2 linked regions of the Drosophila melanogaster genome follow. The protein of the gene in region 1 interacts with the protein of each later gene in a pairwise test. Each region holds a gene or a part of one and is shown on either strand. Other genes may lie near its edges. The genes, in order: Vdup1 and CG13742.

Region 1 (5,108 bases):
GCCATTTGGATGTCGCCAGTTCACGCCGGCCACTTTGTACCACCAGACAGCGCTCGCCACTCGGAAGTCCTCTAGGTTCTTCTGCTCCAATGGGCTCAAAAGGCTCTTAAACAGAAAACTGTCGCCATATCGCTCAGCCTCCGTGGTGTAGTTAGTGTGCAGAACAAACTTCGCAAAGGCTTCGTTGGAAACCTCATACTTGTCGATGTAGAAGTCATTCAGCTTCACCTGCCGTTCCGGAGCCTCGCGGTCGGCCGGAAAGTGCGGTTTGTCAGTACCCATGTAAACCGTGCCTCCCGGAAGCAGTGACATGTCCGCAATATTTGGCTCCAGTTCGCCATAGTAATCCCGGTAGTGGCTGTGTGCACCCTGTGCTCGTTGCTGGCACACTTGTCCGGAAATGGACGGCATATCCGGGGCCTTCCGGTCGAGCTTTTGGCAGCCACAGTCGCTGGATACGTCATTGAATAAAACTATCCAAATAAAGAGGACTAATATAATTGTTGTCATCTTAACGTGCAGTGTGGCCCTTTTTAGTTTTGGAATCAATACTTAATTTCGCGAATTTAAATTCCGAACAAGCCAGCTTTTTAATAGCATACTTTAGGCTGTAACGTTTTAAACAATTTATTTCAATTTCAACAACCATACTTTTGGGATTATTATTATTATTATAACCATTTAGTAGTAGTTAGAAGGTTAATGAGTGCAGTTTTACCATTTTAATAATATATAACCTACAATATTTAGGTTTTATAAAAAGTTATGTATATGAGCTAATTATAATTTATCAAAGTCTGGTCTTTATGTTAACTTTCGTTTGTATTTGTTATAAATTCTTCAATCATGAACAAATTTTTGGGAACGGAAGACCTACAAATGCAAAGACCAGAAACATTAAAAAACGTTAAGTATAAGTTAAATAAGTTTAAATTGTTGTATGGCGCAAATCGGTCTTAACAAGTTGTGATACACAGCAATCCTAAAAGCTGCGGGCTATGCCTCGATAGGCTTCTCGTGCAGCCAGGGCCGGAATATGGGTAGTGTGGACGGATAGTGGGTGTGCGTGTCCGGCTTAAGCACCGATTCCGGCCAGGTGTTGGCATTGACCGCATCACCGGAGTGTCGAAAGGGGTACGTCGCAAGCACGATAGGAAGCTGTAGCTTAATCTCCTTCTCCATGGACTTGGGTTCGATCACGAAGAAGACGTCGTAGGATATTTTGATCAGGTGGCAGCCATGAAGATTGGTCGGCGGCAGGGGTGGAACGTAAAGCTCGTTGTGCCACTCGTCTTTGGCCCCCGGACGGATCTTGCCACGAACTAAAACAGCCAGCTCCCGTTTTTCCGTTTGCACCACCTTCCCCCGCGCCAAATACTCGATGGTCTAAATAAAATCCAAATAAGATCAAAATGGATGAATTGTAACTAGCCACTTGAAAGCGATACCGACCTCAGTGAGGGATGCCTTAGTCCGTTTAATGGACACATTACTGTAGTTGGATATAAATGCGGTGACCAGAATATTCTCGCCGGGCACATACCCACCGCGATCAAGGGACACTCTGCACTTTATCTGACCTCCACCAACACAGACGACGCCTAGCTTGTGCTCAACTTCGCAGGTGAACGGTTGCTGAGTCAGGCGAAAGGTTAGTTTTTTTAAACAGGGTTTTTAAAGCTACTTACTGCTAAGATGGGCTTTTCAAGGTTTAGGTCGATGGGATTCATCACAATGAAGACCTGGTGGTTCTTATGGATAATGCCATTGTTCTCGCGGAGCGCCGCCTTGCAGTAGAACTGAATCCAGCCGTACCGACCGAGAAATGTAGATGGAAGACCCAGTGGCAAGCCGAGTTTGAAGGGGAAGCTGTGAATTCCTGGCGAGAGTATAGCTGGACCTCCTTGGTCTACGTCCCCCAGAAGTCGCATCCGAAAGTCGATATAGTTCTCCTTATCGTATGTCCGCTCCTGTCGCCGCCCGTTGCGCACGACCCCTTCGCCTACCACATGGAAATGAAGTCCCAAAGCAGGCGTCTCATCCTGCAATTCGATTAGAACCCGTCCGGAGAGAAACTGGCCCGGGAAGTACAGGAGGGAAGTGTTGTCGAAGATGATAAGGAATTTAAGCAACTTGCGCGGCATCGTGCCTCTGTTTTGTTGCCGATTTCATTCGTACGCCTAAGGAAAAACCAACGAAATTCGTTAGAACACGGTTGCCAAATATTTGACCCGCTCCGCACGCGTCATTATGGTTAATGACAACTTATCCGTCATAGCTGGCTAGGTCTGAGACCATGTACTACGGACTACGGTCTCACATACATACGGCGCTTGTTTGCATATTTATGTGGGTAGCATCTAGGCGGGCAAAGGAAACAAAACCAGTTTCGTACGGCCAAGAGATGGCTGCGTGCACAACTATGCAGCACGAAAGCCCCGAACACTTAAGCATCAACTGCAAGGTCGGCGCATGAAGCATGTCGGGCGTGTCACGCCCGCGCCTACAAATTTGGGCAAAACTCCAGTATGTACATCTTTACCAAAAGCGTAAGCTGCAACTGCGACTGTCGGCAAGCCTGTTTGGTGCACTGGTGACAATGTTGATGATTCCTGATTGGGAAACAGAAACCGAAAAGAAAACTGACGTAATTTCCTAGTGGAAAGCGGATTCCCAACCGTACACTGCCATTGGAATGATTACATTCAAATTGTTCAACATTTTTGTTTTTATCCACAACAGATCAATTGTTTTCTCTTCATCCCTGTGGGCGCACTTGAAATAATGATCGCTTTTCAAATACCTGTACACACAAAGGTGTTTTTTGGCCAGATCGGAACACCAGTCCAAACCGAACCGATTTAACCCGTTCTGCCTTTGAGCGATATTCGTTTGGCAAGATCTCGTCCACGCTCTCGAGCGTTTGTTTGGCAACTGATCACCGTCGTCGTCATCGTCGTCGTCGTTATGCATCAGTTTGCGGACGAGAGCTCGACTGAAAAACTTGTTTTGAGCGCGTTTTTGCGAGGGATCGTTTGAGAGAGGCCCAGCCGGAGCCAGCTGATGTCGTAATGCCAATAAGTAGCCCGCTTTTGTTTTTACTATCTTTTGCATTCATGTAATACATGGCTGAATTTACCTTTCCAGCGGGCTTACAGGATACGCAAAGCGCGTATCTTCTTGAATAAATTCAAACGGAAAAAACTGGAACGGCACCACAGACAACAGAAGACCAAACGAGCATGAGAACCAAATTGTCACCTCAACGGTTAGCTAAGCTGTTCAAACTGAATCGATTATAGGAGCAATTTGCTAATAATATGGCAATGCTCGCAGAGTCGCCCCGCTATAGCTCAGCAGGTGTATCTTGTGTTACTCGGTTGCACCTAGAAAATAAATCTGTATTTCCAACACCAAGCCCATATTTTACAGGTATTTATCCATAGTCGACAAATCGTGTGCAGACTAAAATGGATAAAGTGGCACACATTTATGCATTATGCATGCATTTAATACCGGTTATTTGTTGTTTTAAGGTACCCAAATCGAAGAACCTCAACTGTAGCTCATGAAAATGAAAGGCCAAAAGCCAAGCAAACTATCACTGGCTGCGAAAACCGAATCGGTGAATGGCTCGGCAGCCTGTGGCAAGCTGTGGCAAGCTATGGCTATACCCTGAAAATTAGTCAAAAAATGAGTCCTGTGGCAGATACCTTGAAAACTTTATTAAAAGGAATCTGTAGGTTATCCTTATGATCGACAAAGTATAAGATAATATTAGAAAGAGTAGAGATGCAACGATGGTCAAACTATATATGGACTGAAGAAATCAATCGTTTTGAAGACTATGCTGGCTATAAGAGAAAACAAATCACTTTCGTATTTAACTTTTCCAGCTTTTCATATTTCTTCCAACGGCATTAGTGACATTTAGTAGCAATGGCTAGGCTATAGTTTTCCATTTCAATGTTTCTCGGCTTAATTGCTGGGAGTTGTTGTTTTATAATGACCCAAGTCTTTACCGCGAAGAGAGATTTCAACGAGACTCCAAAGATTTCCCGTTTGTGGCCTCGACGTATAGAGTATCTGAAAATTAGGTTGTTTCGAATAGAGACGTCTATACTAGTTTGGTTCAAAATGATAATCGCTTGAGCTCGAAGTTTCGTGGAGCCCACAACTAAGTATTCTTGAGTTAAAGTCAGTGTGGTTTCAAAGCTGCTCCGCGCACCACCGAACCGATCTCCGAATCTCAGCTCTGTTTATCATTTTTCTGAAAGTCCGGCGCTGAGGAACCTATAGTAAGCCTATCTCCATCTCTTATAATAATAGCGAAAGCCAGACGTGAAGGCAGAGAATATCTTGGTGTAACATCAATCACCAAGGGGGAGTGGCTGGTCCACTCCATAAACTTACCAACGATACCGTAAAGTCTCAAAGAGAAAAACAAGAGGTGTAGCAGAGCTACACCTGCAAAACTTTCTCATGCCCAACTGGCTGGGCGCATTGGCCACTGTTTTCGTTGCTCTTGCCTTGTTTCACCTCTCTGGCACGCTCTCCCTTAAATCGAGCTGCTTCTATGTCCGACTTGGGGCAGTGGCTCAGTTGTGGCGAAGATACCGAGCGCGCTGGTAAGGCACGGTTCGCATCGAAAACTTTAAACTGTCTTCGGTCGGGCCAGTGGAACGCGAGAAAGTTAAAATTGTAACAATAAAGACACTCATAATAGCGCTCCGTGAGTAACTTAGTGTTTACATGAAGAAGGCTGATTCTAGTTCATCACTGGTCCAATCGAAGCGCCATACACAAGTTACCACAGATTTTCATAACTAGCTAATGACCGAAATTGACACGTTCTGACGGCCGCAGCCGATGAGAGGACCTTATTCTAAAGAAGAACTGTTAACTAATTGTCAGCTCTGCTTACAAGCGGTTAGGTTGCATAAATTACACCAAATGGTTTGTTCGCCACGCTTCTTATACCATATCTGTATTAGCATATCTAAGGTTCTCTTTTGGCTAACCCCTTCCTTTGTGATGCCTCCATAGAGCACTAGCTTACACAATAACCAGTAAAGGCTTCGGGATGCAGAGCCTACCACTACCAGGAG
Region 2 (5,469 bases), on another chromosome or scaffold:
TAATTTATATAATATATATATTAAAGATAGTTATTTTGTGTGCCACTAATTCCAACAAAACTTACGATCGATGGGATGCTCTGTAAGTTTGGTGTTGATCTCCTCCTCAATGGCGGCCAAAAGCTCTAGATCGCGTGGAAAGCGGAATATGGAGATGGACATGCCCTTGCGCCCCGCTCTTGCTGTTCTGCCTACGCGATGGATGTACTCCTTTGGTGTCCGGGGAAGCATGTGATTCATAACCAGCTCGACGCTGGGTATATCCAGACCTCTGGCGGCCACATCCGTAGCGATCAGTGTACGTATTTGGTTGGACTTGAAGCGACTTAGAGCAGCTACGCGCTCCTTTTGCCGCATGAAACCATGCAAGCAAACATTATCGATTTCCATGTTCTTCAGTGTCATCGAGAGAAGCTGACAGTACCTAAAATGATTCGTTATTAAATCCTTAGAATTTACTTCCTATTATTGTGCAACTAACTTTTTTGTGTTGGTGAAGATCATGACATTAGCGTTTTCGTTCTCCTCGCGATACTTTCTTAGTGCCTCTATTAAGACCATGTCGCGATCGTAGTCGGCGCACAGCAGATAACGCTGGTCCAGAGTCTCTACAGTGGCCACGTCTGAGTCCTGCGACCATTCAAAACACTACATTCGGATTAAGATATCTATTAGTACCATTCAACAGGGTATTCATAAAACTTACATCGCTGGCAATGGGAAATATGCTGGACTCCTTTATGAAGTCCTTCATGGTTGCGGAAAAGAAAAGGTTTTGCCTTGTCTTTGGCAAACAGCGCTCAATGATGGATAGGCTCTCGTCAAAGTCTCCGTTCAGCATGCGATCCGCTTCGTCAACAACCAAATACTTCAGATTGTCGAAGGAGAAGGTGTCGCAGCCGGTTAGGTGATCCGCGAGACGGCCGGGCATGGCCACCACGATGTGCGGTCGCTGCATAAGCTTCTGGCTCTCGACCATTTGGTCTGTGCCGCCAGAGACAACACATACGCGCACCCCCATCGCCTGTCCAGCCACAAGAAACTGCTCGGAGATTTGATAGGCCAACTCGTGCGTGGGCGTCAGCACCAGGGCGAAGTGGCTCACTGGCTCTTCGCTCAGCCGCTCCAGAATGGGCAGGGCAAAGGCGAAGGTCTTGCCCGAGCCCGTCTTGGCAGCTCCAATGCAATCCTGGCCCGCCAATATCGCTGGGATGCATTTCTGTTGGATTGGAGTTGCTCCCTTCAGGCCTGAAAGCGCAATGGTTTAATTACTTGGGTAAACCCGTGGACGGCTTGACATTACCCAACTTGGTCAGCTGCTTAACCAACCATGGACGTAGGCCCAGGATCTGAAAGGGATTGGCCTCCTTTCGTTGCATTTCGGTAAATAAAAATACAACGAAATAAAAAAGGAAAACAACGTGCGCTGTATTAGTGATGGAAGTATTGTCTTCTGTATCGGTATATAACTATCGATACGTTTTTAATTTTTGCTCCGTGTGAGTGGTTAGCTGTATTTAGTACGCATTTTTAATTTAAATTCAATTAAATTTTTTATTTACTTCAACCGCAGAATTATTGGCGAGTAATAAGAAAAAATTCACTATAAAATTAATAATACATTTTATAATTAATCGACAATAGTCACGCTCTAGACAGGTAAGATTCCGCATCTATGGGCGCGATCATTTTGTAAACACACTGAATATTTCGATTTAGACTCAATGCAAAGATGTCCGAAAACCATGATAGCCTGGGTGCATCTGTAGCCTACAGTGAGCTGGTGGCTATAGACCAGAAGGACATCATCCTGATGATAGACTTTGATTCGGCGGTTTCCATTTGCTCAGCATGTATCGCAAATAAATCCGCGAATCCTGTGGATGTCTTGACATTGTGGTTCACCAAACTATTAGGAGCATACATCGACGATTCCGGGTATTGTGTACTAGCAGCTCGGGAAATGTGCAAGTGGTTCACGATCGTAGGTAATTCTTACACAATGCGCTTCAGTCTATTAACTTTAAATTCGTCCTCAGGAAGCAGAAACTGGCAATGAAGTCCACAGCGGTCATATAAAACTCATGTCTGTGGCACAAGAATTTGTATCCACATTCAGGGATCGATTGCTGGAAGCAGGCGAACGTTTGGTTCAAATCCTTGCCTATCTTGTCTTTACAATTATCGACTTCTGTTTAATGTGGTAAGAGGGGCTTGGATAAAACCTATATGTAAAATATTTCTATATATTTTTGCTTACATCATTCAGCGATAAGAGTCATCGCCAGATTGTTGCGGATCTTCAACTCGAAACGCTTTCTTTAATAAAGGATTCTATCATTAATTTGACAGAAGTCCACCCTCGCCTTGCGACCTGTAAGTTAGGAATACTAACGAATTGATACACCCAAAAATTTGAGTATTATCTGAAAGTTGTTGTAGACTAATTATAGACTTTATATTAAACAATTGTCAGTGATGCAAAAGATAATGGAAATCGCAGATACCGAAGGAACACGCACTGGTGATCTGCAGTTATCTGTACAGACAGGCGAGACGTTGGCTCATATTTGCTTGCACTTCATGACAACCTGGCATGCTAATCCTACAGACGAAAAACTGCCCAATTGGCTTAGGGAAACTGTTTTTCATCTATGTGATGTGGTTACCGTTCACTTGAATAGTACTTTTGACATCGTTCGTATAACAAAGCTTACGATTTGTAAAAGAGTTTATTTAACAAGACATTTTTTTTAGGACAATCGTATTGTTCCTGCGGAAAAGTTAGAGGAGCTTGTAGATGGTATCAGGACCTACATTGTATTGTTATATCATATTCTTCAAAAAGGTGTGGTGTATGTTGATGATGATGTAGCTGTTTGTCTGATGGACTTAATAATGTGTGAACGAACGTAAGTTTGAAAAATGAAATGGTTATTTGCAATAATTGTATTTTCTTTTAGGAGGCCATCACATTACTCTGACATCGAGAAGCAACAGCTAATTTCTGTGTTAGTACGACCACATGTACTAGATATTTTAGAGCTGCTTTACAAGTTCCAAAAATGTCAAGAAGTAAGATGAAATTCAGAAATCGCTTGCAAATAAATGTCTTCGGATAGACTTTGATTGAAAACTATTCATTCATACAATACATCATCAGATTTTGTTAATGTTACTAAAATTTGTCCTTTTAGTATTTAATATCCAGTGTCCTTGGTACACCAAAATTTGACTACTTCGACGCTTGCATGGATTTTATTAATGCTGTGTCTACAGACGATGCGGATGTGCTCCCATCTACTTGCCGAACATTACAACAAACTTTTGAATATTTGTTTAAAGGTAAGGTGTCGATTCGATCATATTTATTTCTTACTACTTACTGAGCCCACAGATGCTAAAAATTTTGTTCACGGCGAACGCTATAATCAAGTATTGGATGCGTTTGGTTGTCTTTTGTATTTAGTGGGTAACATAGAACTACATAGGTATTTCTGTGCCGGCATATTTCAAAAGGATTTTATTACATCGCAAGTGTGTGCGGATATTCTCATGCTGTGCTTTCGGTTAGTAATTATAAATCATACATTTTAAAATTTATTTCACTATTCTATGTTTTTAGGCTAAAAGAGGCCAACAAATGCTGGACAGATCATGCCATAAAAGAGGCTATGGCTCACTGGCATAAGTGCAATAATTCTTACGCCATGTTTTCCACAAATCCAAGCCAATTGCATGTACAACGATTCCTTAGGTACTTCCACTGCTTGGGAAAGCAGGAACTTCCTGTCATAAGCATTCAAAACTTCCGGCACCTGTCTGTCGTCGCAAAATCAGATGGCCACGTGGGAATGAAGATATTGAAGCGCTTAGAACTCATCTCCACCTCAGCGCCCACAAAAGTTGAGTTGTACTATGAAGTGGTAAGCAAGTAGAAGTACACTTATAAAATGGATATACATACCTTGATTTTTTATACCCAAAGGTTGCTCTACTGGAACTTTTGGTGCACCACGATCAAATCGACTGTTCCCATTGGTTTCAGCGGACATCGGAAATGGCCAATAAACTTTTAGGCATTGACAAGAGCATTAGCTTTGCTAATGTTTACTTCAAACTACTAGCGCGTGCGAATGGATCCACCAAATTACTTATACTTAGGGGACTGCCTCCAAATGCTGGATGCACAAACTGGTATCGCGAGAAATTCCTCGACTCCTGCAAAGTCAGCGATGACGCCCAACTAAGAGCATTTAGTGCCCGCCATGCAATATACCCATTGTTTAAGGCATTGCATGTCGAACCCGGAACTGTTGTCGACGGTTCATTTGATCTCAGTAAATCAAGCTACATTCGCCATGGAGATCATAAATGTCCGGTCTCTAGTCTAAAACGTCGACGGAGTGAATTGGCGCCTAAAGAAATCCTTCGTAATATATATGAGGCTTCTCTTCAACTGACCCAGTGCACCGCGAATTTCGATGCTGCCGACTGGGAATTGCTCAAGAAGGTAATGGCCAATTTGAGTGGAATTGTACCCTAGCTCCCTGCTCTATGCTTTTCGTATCGCTCACTTACCTAAATCAATTAATTACCACCTGTGTACTCATTTTGAATAAGAATCCCTAATTAAGATGTTGTGCGATAAGGCGGTTAAAAATAACGTGTAAATAAAGACAGTTTACCTGCAAGCGAAGCGGATGTAAAGCTAACGAAACTGCCTGCGAAATAGGATCGAAAGGCTACCCTGGTGATGTCTGATCGTCGGGATGGTGCCATTGCACTCAGCGAAGCGATGACAATGCCCAGGGATCCGGGATTGGCAAACCCACAAAGGGCAAAAGTGGCTATGGCAGCGCTCCGCGGCTATAAGAATACTAGTTTTAAAATAATCTATAAGAATAGAATATGCAGATGGGTACTCACATCAACCTTTTTATCGCTAACCAATATGCCCAGGTTTCTATAAGCCACAAACTCGTTTATGAACGACTTTTGGGCCACCACCAGGCCAATTGCTTGACAATCGTGCCACGGCACGCCCATCACGAAGACAATCGGGATAAAGATCTGGGAGAGAATGTAGAGTAGGGTGATGTTATGCAGTCCAATTAGCTCGAAAATCCACTCCGTTACAGCGTCTAGGAAGAACACAATGGCTAGGAAGGCGATGATATTCGAGACGATTCCGAGCACAATCAACAAGGCTGCTGCAGCTCCCGAGGCGGCCGCATCCAAAATAGACGTATCCGTCCTTGGCAAGGTGTCTGGGCGATTATCAAATGTTGACTCTTATGAAGAGGAACTTACGAGCTTTCCAGCTTAATGTTGTCGGACCTGGTCAGAGATTCCTCGGTCTCGGGGTAGAACAGTTTGGCGAAAGCCAGTGAACCCGGAGCAGCCATTACGCTGGCTGCGATAAGAAAGCTGGCGGAAGCACCGAAGGACACATAAGCCCCCAAGACA

The links.
Region 2: the proteins of Vdup1 (region 1) and CG13742 interact in a two-hybrid assay, tested with the Drosophila melanogaster proteins (one large-scale study listed by BioGRID).

Annotation. Positions count from the first base shown.
Region 1 is NT_037436.4:175,694-180,801, forward strand, and holds Vdup1 (vitamin D[[3]] up-regulated protein 1), read right to left. Parts: upstream 3,271-5,108; 5' UTR 3,140-3,270; intron 2,943-3,139; exon of another isoform or gene 2,804-2,942; intron 2,613-2,803; exon of another isoform or gene 2,181-2,612; 5' UTR 2,145-2,180; coding exon 1,689-2,144; intron 1,636-1,688; coding exon 1,453-1,635; intron 1,387-1,452; coding exon 997-1,386; 3' UTR 809-996; downstream 1-808. Other genes in the region: CG7049 (uncharacterized protein), read right to left, coding at 1-510; CG13875 (uncharacterized protein), read left to right, coding at 5,084-5,108.
Region 2 is NT_033778.4:9,083,821-9,089,289, reverse strand, and holds CG13742 (uncharacterized protein), read left to right. Parts: upstream 1-1,657; 5' UTR 1,658-1,659; intron 1,660-1,719; 5' UTR 1,720-1,732; coding exon 1,733-1,984; intron 1,985-2,039; coding exon 2,040-2,203; intron 2,204-2,269; coding exon 2,270-2,376; intron 2,377-2,476; coding exon 2,477-2,697; intron 2,698-2,757; coding exon 2,758-2,912; intron 2,913-2,963; coding exon 2,964-3,075; intron 3,076-3,197; coding exon 3,198-3,345; intron 3,346-3,397; coding exon 3,398-3,569; intron 3,570-3,572; exon of another isoform or gene 3,573-3,625; coding exon 3,626-3,926; intron 3,927-3,967; exon of another isoform or gene 3,968-3,988; coding exon 3,989-4,546; 3' UTR 4,547-4,590; coding exon of another isoform or gene 4,591-4,628; 3' UTR 4,629-4,688; downstream 4,689-5,469. Other genes in the region: Dbp45A (DEAD box protein 45A), read right to left, coding at 66-424, 482-648, 707-1,248, 1,304-1,379; CNT1 (concentrative nucleoside transporter 1), read right to left, coding at 4,591-4,628, 4,689-4,869, 4,930-5,257, 5,314-5,469.